Danio rerio: one gene and its partners. The protein of the gene in region 1 purifies or fractionates together with the protein of each later gene. This does not show direct contact. Links are inferred from orthologs where the notes say so. Each region holds a gene or a part of one and is shown in the gene's direction. Other genes may lie near its edges. The genes, in order: bcl7a, arid2 and arid1b.

Evidence for each region.
Region 2: the proteins of bcl7a (region 1) and arid2 purify together in Homo sapiens (affinity purification with mass spectrometry; 3 studies listed by BioGRID and IntAct, counting the BioPlex papers as one, with this or other methods). This does not show direct contact. The link is inferred for Danio rerio from reciprocal best matches to the Homo sapiens genes BCL7A and ARID2.
Region 3: the proteins of bcl7a (region 1) and arid1b purify together in Homo sapiens (affinity purification with mass spectrometry; 4 studies listed by BioGRID and IntAct, counting the BioPlex papers as one, with this or other methods). This does not show direct contact. The link is inferred for Danio rerio from reciprocal best matches to the Homo sapiens genes BCL7A and ARID1B.

The regions. Positions count from the first base shown.
Region 1 is NC_133180.1:42,613,641-42,617,396, forward strand, and holds the start of bcl7a (B-cell CLL/lymphoma 7 protein family member A), read left to right. Parts: upstream 1-1,443; 5' UTR 1,444-1,508; coding exon 1,509-1,600; exon of another isoform or gene 1,601-2,439; coding exon of another isoform or gene 2,440-2,441; intron 2,442-2,520; coding exon 2,521-2,602; intron 2,603-2,998; coding exon 2,999-3,095; intron 3,096-3,480; coding exon 3,481-3,636; coding exon of another isoform or gene 3,637-3,654; intron 3,655-3,744; coding exon 3,745-3,756. Other genes in the region: cfap251 (cilia- and flagella-associated protein 251), read left to right, coding at 925-1,046.
Region 2 is NC_133179.1:1,979,107-1,982,762, reverse strand, and holds part of arid2 (AT-rich interactive domain-containing protein 2), read left to right. Parts: intron 1-492; coding exon 493-635; intron 636-876; coding exon 877-1,015; intron 1,016-2,031; coding exon 2,032-2,114; intron 2,115-2,193; coding exon 2,194-2,323; intron 2,324-3,656. UniProt on the Homo sapiens protein: Involved in transcriptional activation and repression of select genes by chromatin remodeling (alteration of DNA-nucleosome topology). Required for the stability of the SWI/SNF chromatin remodeling complex SWI/SNF-B (PBAF).
Region 3 is NC_133195.1:5,084,737-5,088,392, reverse strand, and holds part of arid1b (AT-rich interactive domain-containing protein 1B), read left to right. Parts: intron 1-545; coding exon 546-888; intron 889-3,190; coding exon 3,191-3,334; intron 3,335-3,656. UniProt on the Homo sapiens protein: Involved in transcriptional activation and repression of select genes by chromatin remodeling (alteration of DNA-nucleosome topology).

The DNA.
Region 1 (3,756 bases):
TGGGGTTGAGGGCGGCGTGATTGTCCTCTGCCTAGAGCGGCAGTTCAGCTTGCTCCGGCCCTGTGTGGGAAGCACCAACATGTTTTATCATGCTAAATGCATTTTAAGGTTCTGTTATAATGCTGCTTTGTGAGCTCTAACAAAACACAAAACATGTTAAACATCTTTGGTGTTTCCCACTACATGTTTTCTATAAAACCAAACCAAGGGTGGTCAAGGGTATTTGACATAATTAGCATGGGAACACAGGACATGGTCCTTGTCACTAAAACTGCTTATTTCTTTGGACTTAAACATTTTTGAAAGCATTACCAGAAAATAATAAAAAATATATAACACTATGAAAAGGCGACACGGTGGCTCAGTGGTTAGCACTTTCACCTCACAGCAAGAAGGTCACTGGTTTGAGTGCCAACTGGGTCAGTCGGCATTTCTGTCTGAAGTTTGCATGGTCTCCCCGTGTGGGCGTGGGTTTCCCCCACAGTCCAAAGACATGCGCTATAGGTGAATTGGGTAAGCTTAATTGTCTTTTGTGTGAGTGTTTCTGAGTTTGTATGGGTGTTTCCCAGTACTGGGTTGCAGCTAGAAGGGATCCGCTGTGTTAAAAATATGCTGGATAAGTTGATGGTTCATTCCGCTGTGGCGACCTCAGATTAATAAAGTGACAAAGCTGAAGAAAATTGAATAAATTAATAAATGAACATGTTCATTTACACGTTCATCTTACATGTTTTGCCTTTACATTGTTGGTTATGTTTTGGGTTAAATCATAGGCAAGTGAATGTGCAAATTAGCGTCTTTGCTAATAATGCACTCACATATATAACCTCTGCAATGTTAAAGACTATTTGGCTAAAATACATTATGATTTTCAAAATGTAGCAATCTTTTGATCTCAACAAACGTTACTCTTTCTCCTTTCAGGGTCTCTGTTGGAAAGTGTGCTTCCAGCTGAAATCACCATGGACGCATTTGCCTCAGATATATTGGGCTTTTCTGTCGCCACCCAGGAGCTCCATCAAGAACACCACGGACAGGAGTCATAATATATTTACATTTCCCTGCTTATGTTCATGCGTTGTCAATAAGTAATGTATTTTAAAACAGATGGACTGTTATTGTGTGGTTAGCGAGCTGTTGTGTTATATGTTTGCGTTCAATTCTTTCGCATAGAGATAAAATCATACGAAAATAAAACATGTCGTTTGTCAACATGCTGTCGATTGAAGTCTCCATTTTTTCCAGATACATTTATAAAACGTGTGTTGATGTCGTGGTGCTGGTTTCGATTCGCTCGTCTAGCTCAGCAATCTGATAAAATATCGTTTTCTTTGCTCTGTTCGCCAACAAAGGAGCGAAACGCGTACCCGCATTGACCGTGTCTCTCATGCTTCGAGGGCATTTGGCTTCAGCGCAGGCGCACAAACCCCGCCTCTCTCCTGTGCTGTGTGCATTCGCATTGTGTCTAAACAGGCAGCGAGCAAAAAGATATTTTACCAACAGCAGTAATGTCGGGCAGGTCGGTTCGAGCGGAGACGCGGAGCAGGGCGAAAGATGACATCAAGCGGGTTATGGCTGCAATTGAAAAAGTGCGGAAATGGTAAGAGAGAGCGTCTATCCGTTAACGAACAGCACAGACAGCCTGTGGGGGAGGAGAGACACCGAGAAACAATGAAATGAAAGCGAAGAGAGCGTTTATTCCACTCCAATTTCACTCAGATGTACTGTTTCTGCGATTCTGCGCGCGGCTGCTCCTTTGTCGGCTGTGTGAAAACATAGTTTGGGAAAATGTAGATCGCGTTTTTTCTTCCATTAAATTTTTATGTGGGTTGAACCTAGAAGCCATTTCGTTGCAGTCACATGAAGGCTTTGCTGTTAGAGCCTGTAATGCCGGCTGAATAGTAACCGAACGGGCTGACATGAGGAAACTAGAGTGAACCGTCCGTACCGAACAGAAAGTGCCGGTGAACGGGCGTTTGACTCGTTCATCTCGTGTTGAAAGTGAGAGAGTCGCGCTTTGAGCGGCGGCGCGTGAGGAGAGTTTGATCCACGCGCGGGGTTTTAAACTCAGCCCTGAGCCGCAGTTTCACATACACTTTTTTACACTTCAAGCAACTGCTGGGGATTTCGTTTAAACTTAAGTTTAAGTTGAATTAAGGGTTTTCAAACCATGACAAATTATTTGTTGGACTAACAATAATTACCAAAACAATATTTATTCTATAAAAGTATACATGTTAAATGAGAAACAATCGTGTTTTTGTGGCAACGTGCGATTAAAATTGTACACATCTGTGAGCTAGTGAACTGCATTATTATTAGTATTTATTTTTATGATAATAATTATTTACTATTGATATCGATAATTTGTTCAGTTGCATATTCTGCAAATGCATCTTGCCTAAATAATGGCTCATCTGAGATTTCTTATGCCTCTAAATGTAAGTGATTTAGTGGTTTGTCCTCATTTGTCTGGCGTTTCCTTTGTCTTTGATATCTAACAATAACATGCATCTCCAGGGAGAAGAAATGGGTGACTGTTGGTGACACGTCACTGCGAATCTACAAGTGGGTACCAGTGACGGAGCCCAAGTCAGATGATGTAAGTGACATTTATTTACAATAACGCACAGCTGTTGCAGTTTTGATAACCTAATAATTATTGTAACATTATGGACCACAACCAACAAATTCATTTGAAAGTTGGAACAAAATAGTCAAGGTAAAATATGACGCAAATGACTTTTTAATGAGTAATTCTATAGTTATTATTTTTTTAATTTAGTAAAGGTAAATTAGTAGTGGTATTCGTTGAGGGGGAAACATATTTCAGTTGTAGCATAACACAGACCAGTATTATTGTTTTTAACAGAGATTAAATTCATATTTATTTTAAATAAAATAAGTTAACTAAAATGAGTCGTATTTAAAACAGACACAACATATTTTACTATCTTCTTCATATGCCTTGATTGCAATATGTATTTATGTCACACAGAAGAACAAAAATAAGAAGAAAGGCAAAGATGACAAGTATGGCTCTGAGGTCACGACCCCTGAGAACAGCTCCTCTCCTGGAATGATGGATATGCATGGTAAAACTGTACACCTAAACACATCTCAATGTTTTACCTTTTTCAAATTAGTATTACATGCAGTAGTCTTTAAACCAATTTATGTGAGAATTTCAAATTGTGTTCTTTGTGATCCTCAAACAGTTGGTCTAATATGCATGACTAAGATTTTGAAGTGTTACCTGCTTTTTATTAGAAAAAAATCATTATTATAATTATTAATGATGGCAGCTTTGAATGTGCATTTTTTCCTCTTAACCAATAGAGGGAGTTGATGAAACAGTTTTACTCTGTGAACTGGTTATTTGCTATGCTATTCCGACCTGTAACCACCTATTAACAGTTACAAATGCATGGACATTTTCAGATATTAAAACTTTTTTTGTTTCTATTTTTTTACCCACAGATGACAACAGTAACCAGAGCTCGATTGCGGACTCTTCCCCATTGAAGCAGGAAACCAGCAACAACACTAGTCCAGCACCTGAGCCCATGGCCGCTTCTCAGAATGACAGCAGTGACTTGAAAAACGACCAGTATCCTTCCAAACAGCCTTCATCTGGTCAGGATCATAAGAGTGGTTTGTGCATTGAATCCTCTAGAGGCTTACTATCCACTTGTCTGTGTTTTTGGTTTGTTTGTTTTAATGAAACCTTGTCATTATTTTCAGAACAAAACCACT
Region 2 (3,656 bases), on another chromosome or scaffold:
AGAAATAAAACACCCCCAAATACACATTTTTGTATTTATTTTATTCTATTTAATTTTATGACGTCTGGATTTTAATTGATTCATTTCTAAAAAAAATTGTTTTGTACTTTTTTTACACTGAGTTAATCGTCAGCAGCAATTTACAGTTTACTTAACATGCATATAATGTATAATACTGTGTGTATTGCAGTTTTTCATGGTCGACTACAAATGTTTACTAAACATAATATTATGACAAAATATTAAATACAGCACCACAAGGGTACTGACAGCTATTGAAGATGACAAATGCAACACTTGAAACTATGTTTGACTTGACCAGTGCACCTACAAATTAATTTGTGCAAGGGATAATGTTTTCTTTCTTGTGTACATTTATATTGTGCTTTCCATTTAATATCATTATCATGTAGGACCCATTGATTTTATTTAGATTGAATGAAGTTTTCCCTTAAGCCTTCTTTAAAATTAAATAACTGTTCGTGTGTGCAGCAGCCTGTGTCAGTGCAGACTCCGCCTCCTGTGGATCCGGCTGCACAGGGAACCAATCAGAGTTCTCCAGCACCCGCCCTCTCTCCAGAGCAAACACGGAAACCTGGACAGAACTTTAAGTGTCTGTGGCAAGCATGCAAACGGTAAGAAAGCATGCTTTACGGATGTACTTCGCAATGTGAATAATAGCCGTATTATAGTTCTTTTTTAATGTTAGTTTTAACAAAAAAGTAGTAATTGGCTACAATTAATTAAATTTGTTGATTGAATAAAATCTTTTGGTTTTAAGGGTTGTTTTACTGGCATAAACTAAGAAATGAATATTAGCTAAGATAAGAAATGTTGGCTTCAGTATAACTGATTTTATTTCTGTGACTGTTTCAGGTGGTTTGACACGCCATCACAGGTGTTTTACCATGCAGCGACCCTTCATGGCAGTAAAGACTCATACCCAGGGCAGTGCCAATGGGAGGGATGTGAACCTTTTCCTCGCCAGAGATTATCCTTCATCACACACCTACAGGCAAGATCCTGACCCTCTGTTGTAGTGATAATAATGACATATATTTTTCCATAGTTAAAGGCCCTTGAAATTAAAATAAAAGTAATAAGATGTCTTAAGGATGTCTGTAATCTAGTGTGCTTCAAAACAGTGACGATTTACGTGTAGAATATATAAGACTGATATAAACATCCAAAGCTTGCAGTTTTACTTCAGCTTCTGACTCCGCCCCTTACTCAATATTCAGTTTAAGTTGGAAATACATCATCATACTAAAATAAACTCCACCCCTAATCAATATTCAATTTTATTTGGAAATGATTATCATACAGAAATAAACTCCGCCCCCTACTCAATATTCAGTTTCAGTTGAAAATACATCATCATACAGAAATAAACTCCGCCCCTACTCAATATTCAATTTTATTTGGAAATGCATCATACTGGAATAAACTCCGCCCCTACTCAATATTCAATTTTATTTGAAAATTCATCATCATACTGAAATAAACTCCGCCCCTACTCAATATTCAATTTTACTTGGAAATTCATCATCATACTGAAATAAACTCCGCCCCTACTCAATATTTAATTTCAGTTGGAAACACTTCACGATATTAAAATAAACTCCGCCCCTACTAAATATTCAGTTTGTTGGAAATACTTCATATTAAAATAAACTCCGCCCCCCTACTCAATATTCAGTTTCAGTTGGGAGTACATCATCATACTGAAATTAACTCCGCCTCCTACTCAATATTCAGTTTCAGTTGGGAGTACATCATCATACTGAAATTAACTCCGCCTCCTACTCAATATTCAGTTTTAGTTGAAAATGTCATCATACTGAAATAAACTCTGCCCCTACTCAATATTTAGATTCAGTTGGAAATGCATCCTCTTGCTAAAATTAAGCTCTGCTCTTCCATTACACAGACAAACCTGAATCACAGAAATGTCTAAAAAGAAAAGCAAAACAATATAATCTGAATTATTCCACTGTTTTGAGCATCTGTTTGTGTGTGTGTGTTTTGCAGGATAAGCACTGCTCGAGGGAAGCACTCATAGCTGCACTCAAACTGGAGGAGCAAACGCAAGGCAGCAACCCCAACACTTCCAAGTGTGTATAGCATCTTAATATCACAGAGACTGCTGAGTGTGTATGATTGTGGTGATAATCTGACTGTGTTGATGCGCAGGTCTCCTCCAGCGGCGGTCAGCAGTCCTCCTCCTCCTCCCAGACCCCCGAAAGCACTCGTCAACCACCCCAGTGCAGCTCTGATGGCGTTACGCAGGGGCTCCAGGAACCTCGTGTTCAGGGACTTCACAGTGAGTTTACAGACCAGCATTTACCATGGTTATTTTGCTGGATCGCGTTGACTGTTTACATGTACATAGTGTTGTCACGATAGTATTTGCAAATAAGTTTATTCAGTACAACAGGAAACAATTTACAATAAAGGCGGATTTATACTTCTGCCTCAAACGGACGCGGATACTACGGCGTTGACGCATAGCCCTATGCCGTGGCCGTCAGCGTCGCTGACGTGCACCTCTCAAAAAAAAAAATGTAACTACACGACGCAACAACGCATAGCGCAAGCTCTGTGATTGGTCGGCTTGGTAGCGCTGACAGGTCTGGTCGGGACCGAGAGCCGCGCGAATGGCGCGACCCCGATGGAGCGATTGTTTACAAGTGTGAGTCCTGTGAAGGAGCTCCGGATGGAAAGTTTTGTGTTTACCTCATAGTTAAAGTTGTTGCACGGCCGCCGGTTCCTGCCTCAAAATGAGCAAGTTTGAGCCACTTGTACATTTCAGGAAGCGTTCAGGAAAAGCAAAACAGCAGCGAAGAAACTCGACACAGAGGAACACAGCGTTGCATGCGCCGTGGGTTACGCCAGTCACTTGACGCAGAAATATAAAACAGGCTTAAAGGCTCATTAGGAAACTTTACTTAGTTAATGCATTTAAATAAACATTTAGAAATAGCAATATTATAAAGTTTACTTAATAAAAAATACAGCTAAATTAAGTAATTAACCCCATTTAATAAAATTATCACTTGATTTTAGTGCTTTATATGCATTAACTGAGAAATTAACATCAGCTTCATGTTTACTTGTGGCCGCATGTTTGCCTCATTCATAAAAGGCAGAACACGCAGGATTCAGCACGTAAATGCACTAGTTACTCCCCAAATACTTGCAAGTAAGTGTCTGGTGTACTTAGAGAAGAGTAGATTCAACTTTATAGTAACTTTCACCATGTGTATATGATATGAATAAAACACATCAGCAAATTATATTTGTATGGATTGTTAGACTTTTTTGTGTGTTTGACAAACTCTAAATGTCTTGTTTTACTAGTACTTGTGTGTATTTACATGTCTAAAACATAAATTAAGCATTAGGCGGTTAAAACGCTGCATAATTGTGATATGACGACACGTCTTTCTCAGCGGGTTAAGTTAGGTTAGGTTAAGTCTTTTCCGACGACCCCTTACTAAGAGCTCTGCTTAGAGCTCTCTCTCTCTCTCTGGGTCAGCGCCAGACACTGTGCCAAAGCTCAGTTTGATTTTCTCAGTTGTGGCTCTAAAGGAAAACGATCTAACGCTAACTTTTCAAGCTAGATAACGAATGAAACATCAGCACCAGAGACTTTA
Region 3 (3,656 bases), on another chromosome or scaffold:
AACTCGACACAGAGGAACATAAACACCTCACTGCCCACTAGCGTTTCGGAAGTGTTAATGCAGACCAACAGAGACAGCGCGCAGAAGTATAAATGCACAGCCACGCGCGTTGCATGCGCCGTGGGTTACGCCGGTCACTTGACGCAGAAGTATAAATCAGGCTTAAGTCCCTTCTTTATCAGGGGTCCCTCAAGTGGTGTCAAACCTTTATGAGTTTCTTTCTGTACTTTGTTGAAAACAAAAGAAGTTACTTTGAAGAAATTTGAAAACCTGTAACCATGGACTTCCAAAGCAGGAAAAAGAAATGTCATGGAAGTCAATGGTTCCAAGTTTTTCAATATATTCAAAATATATTCTTTATTGTTAAACAATAAGTTTAGAAAAAGTAAAGGGGGAGTAAATGATGACAGAATTTTAAGTTTTGGATGAACTAGTCCTTGAAGTTGAATTATTTTACCTTTTAAAGGGGTTATGCATTACTTTTTTATTTTATTATATTTCCTTATTTGTTGCTTCTACATTTAATGAACTTGTTTTATTCCTAGGTAACTACCCGCGTCCTGCTAATTATGGCGGTGCACCGGGTGCCAACTACAGTGGCCCTGGTCCAGGCATGGGCAACAGTCTCGGCATGAATGCCAGCAGTCCAATGCATGGCCAGGGTCCAGGGCAACCCTGTGGCTCTATGACGACAGCTCGAGGTCCAGGACATGCGGCCGGTGGCAGGCCGTACCCAGCGGGCTCCAGCAGTGTTGCTCCAACCTCTCCCAACATGCCTCAGTCTGCTGGCCCTGGGATGGGTCCACCTCCACCCAACGTTGGCCGCAAACCCCACGAGAGTGGCCCTGCATCTGCCCAGCAGAACCTCGTCCCCTCGAGCCAGGCCAGGTAAATCAGAGCCTTAATTAATTTCGATTAAATGCATTTCTTCAGCTTGACTCCAGTTTTATTTTTTGTTTTGGGAAATAGGTTTTATTTACGGCTTTTCAAGACTTTAATAGTTGAGTTTTACCAGTTTTTGTTCCATTCAGCTGATCTCTGGGTCTTGGGCAGGCACTTTTATGGCAAGTTTCCACTGCGTGGTACGGTATGATACAGTATGGTTCATCAAGCTTTTATAGCCGTTTCCATTGTCAAAAGGTACCAAAAATCGAACTGTACTGTTCCACTGTTTGGGTACCCTCTGCAAAGGCTACCTAGCATGACAAAAGGGTACCAAAAGGTGGAGCTAGACGTGCAGCTAAACACTATTGATTTACAGAGAAGCGTTACTAGCCTGTGCATAAGCAGGAGAATGAAAACAAATACATTAAACCATAATACTATATACATGTAATAACAAAGCAACGGTTCGACCAAAGCTTAAACAGACTTTGTTGTTGCCTTGATGAACAGCCACAAAGCCAAGAAGAACAAAATCTGCCAGATACGTCTAGAAGTGTGAGCGGTTTCGCTTTCTCCAGAGAGCTCGCCACGTGTCTATATTTGTAATAACGAACTTCTTGAGCTGATGATAATAACGTGCTCCTGATTATTAAAGTGGTTCTGACATCTGATCCTTTCAGAAACGGACAAACGCTAGGCTATATGTTGCATGTTGTTTTTATGGGTGTTGCATTTATTTATTTATTTTATATAATTGCAGATGTTACAGTTGGCTATTCCGCACTGTCATTAGCTATGTTTCCATCCACCTATTTTTATGCGCATTTTGCATATGCGCATAAAAAAACGGTTGATGGAAACGCCATGATGCGAATAAATTTCGAAAATGCGCATAAAAACGTATGCCCATAACTGAGTAGGATAAACTTTTTATTCGATAAAAAAGATGCGCAACTACGATGGAAACACTTTTACCGCACAAACTCCATTATGCGCATTAAACAAAGTTATGTGATTTTGTTAAAAGAAATCATGTGATGATAAAAATGTGTATGAATGGACAAACCATCAGGCTAAGCACATTATAAAACATCTGCAATGTTGTTTCGTTCATTCTAAAACGCCTTACTGTTTAAGTATTAGTGTTATTATATTATTAATGACCTCCAGAATCAAGAGCGACTGTGCTCCGCATCTGACACCTTCAAACGCCACCATGTGTTTACTGCGTGTCAGGATTGCCTTCTGAGGCGCAAGTGATTTATTAGATGAAGAAAAGATTGACTGCTGCAAATTCCGTTTTTACTGTTGATATTTGGCGCCAATTAACCAGGAAGTGACGATTTTGTTCGCTTTGACTCGTTGGATGGAAACACTGCTTTATTCGCACGTCTTTTATGCGATAATCCAATTTTTAAATGGAAACATAGCTAATGATCTGCAGTTCTAATGAAGTTATGTTCATTTAAAGGTCAGTAATGATAATTTATACACAAGTATTTATGTGTATTAAGCCTCCATGTTGTGAGAAGTGCTCCTATGATATGTTAACGACTTGTATAGCCTAACATTTTAACATTGAGTTCCTTGAGCGAGAATGACGTCGACTGAAACTTTCTGTCGCACACCACGCCATTGGTACCCTTTTGGCAGTGGAAACGCAAGCCTGATAAAGGTGATCAGCACTGTGTAGCACTGTGTACCATACTAGTCAGTGGAAACGATTAGCTTAGGTTAGCATAGCATAAATCATTGAATTGGATTAGACAATTAGCATCTCGTTTTAGGTGTTCATAATATCATTGCATCTGCTGCAGCCAAGGTAGTCCATCTGAACAATACACAAGGATTAATCACACTTTATTAAAATTAGTGCCTATGAAATTAATTCACATTATTAACATGTTAACTTTGGCAGCCCTGGTCTAAATACTTCACATTTAATCATACCTCTATAATATCATTCATATTTTTCTTTAGATATTTTTATTACTGCTGTTTTTTTTTTAACGTTATTTGTTGACGTTTACTACTTCGTAACCTCTATTATTACTGTTTTATCACAGCATAAACATTTATGATTCAGATCGGTCCTTGTTTATAACTCGCACCCTCAATACATCATTCTGCTTATCTCTCACTGGTCGGCCTCCGCTTGACGGATTATTCAGTCACCAAATAATGCTGAAAGCAGCATTTGGGACGGGGCCAAAATGTGTAATTACTCGCTAAACTTTTGAGTTGTCATTTGTATTGAAAGTAAACCGACACCAAGGAGACTTTAATGCTCTTCCCCCTGCTTCAGGCCTCCTTTTGGCAGGTCCCCTGTTTACCCAGGCCTTTCTGGGCCTGGGGGGCGGCCGCCAGCTTCCTTCTCTCTCCCTCAGCCCCATCACCCTCACTACAGTTCTGGGCAAGGCCAAGGGCAGCCTCACGCTGAGCTGTATGGGTAGGTTTGAGCTCGGACCCCCGGCTGGACGGCTTTACTCTGCTTGAGTCTGCTCGCATCCGCTAGAAACCACACAAGCGCTCTGCACTAGCCTCTATTTTCTCCTTCATAAGGGCTCATATATAAGTGTGATTATATATACAGTGCATCCGGAAAGTATTGATTATAATTCTACACACAATACCCCATAATGACAGTGTAAAAAAAAGTTTTTAAAATTGTTGTAAATGTATTAAAAATAAAAAGCTGAAAAATCAGATGTACATCAGTATTCACAGCCTTTGCGGTGAAGCTCTAAATTGAGCTCAGGTACATTCTGTCT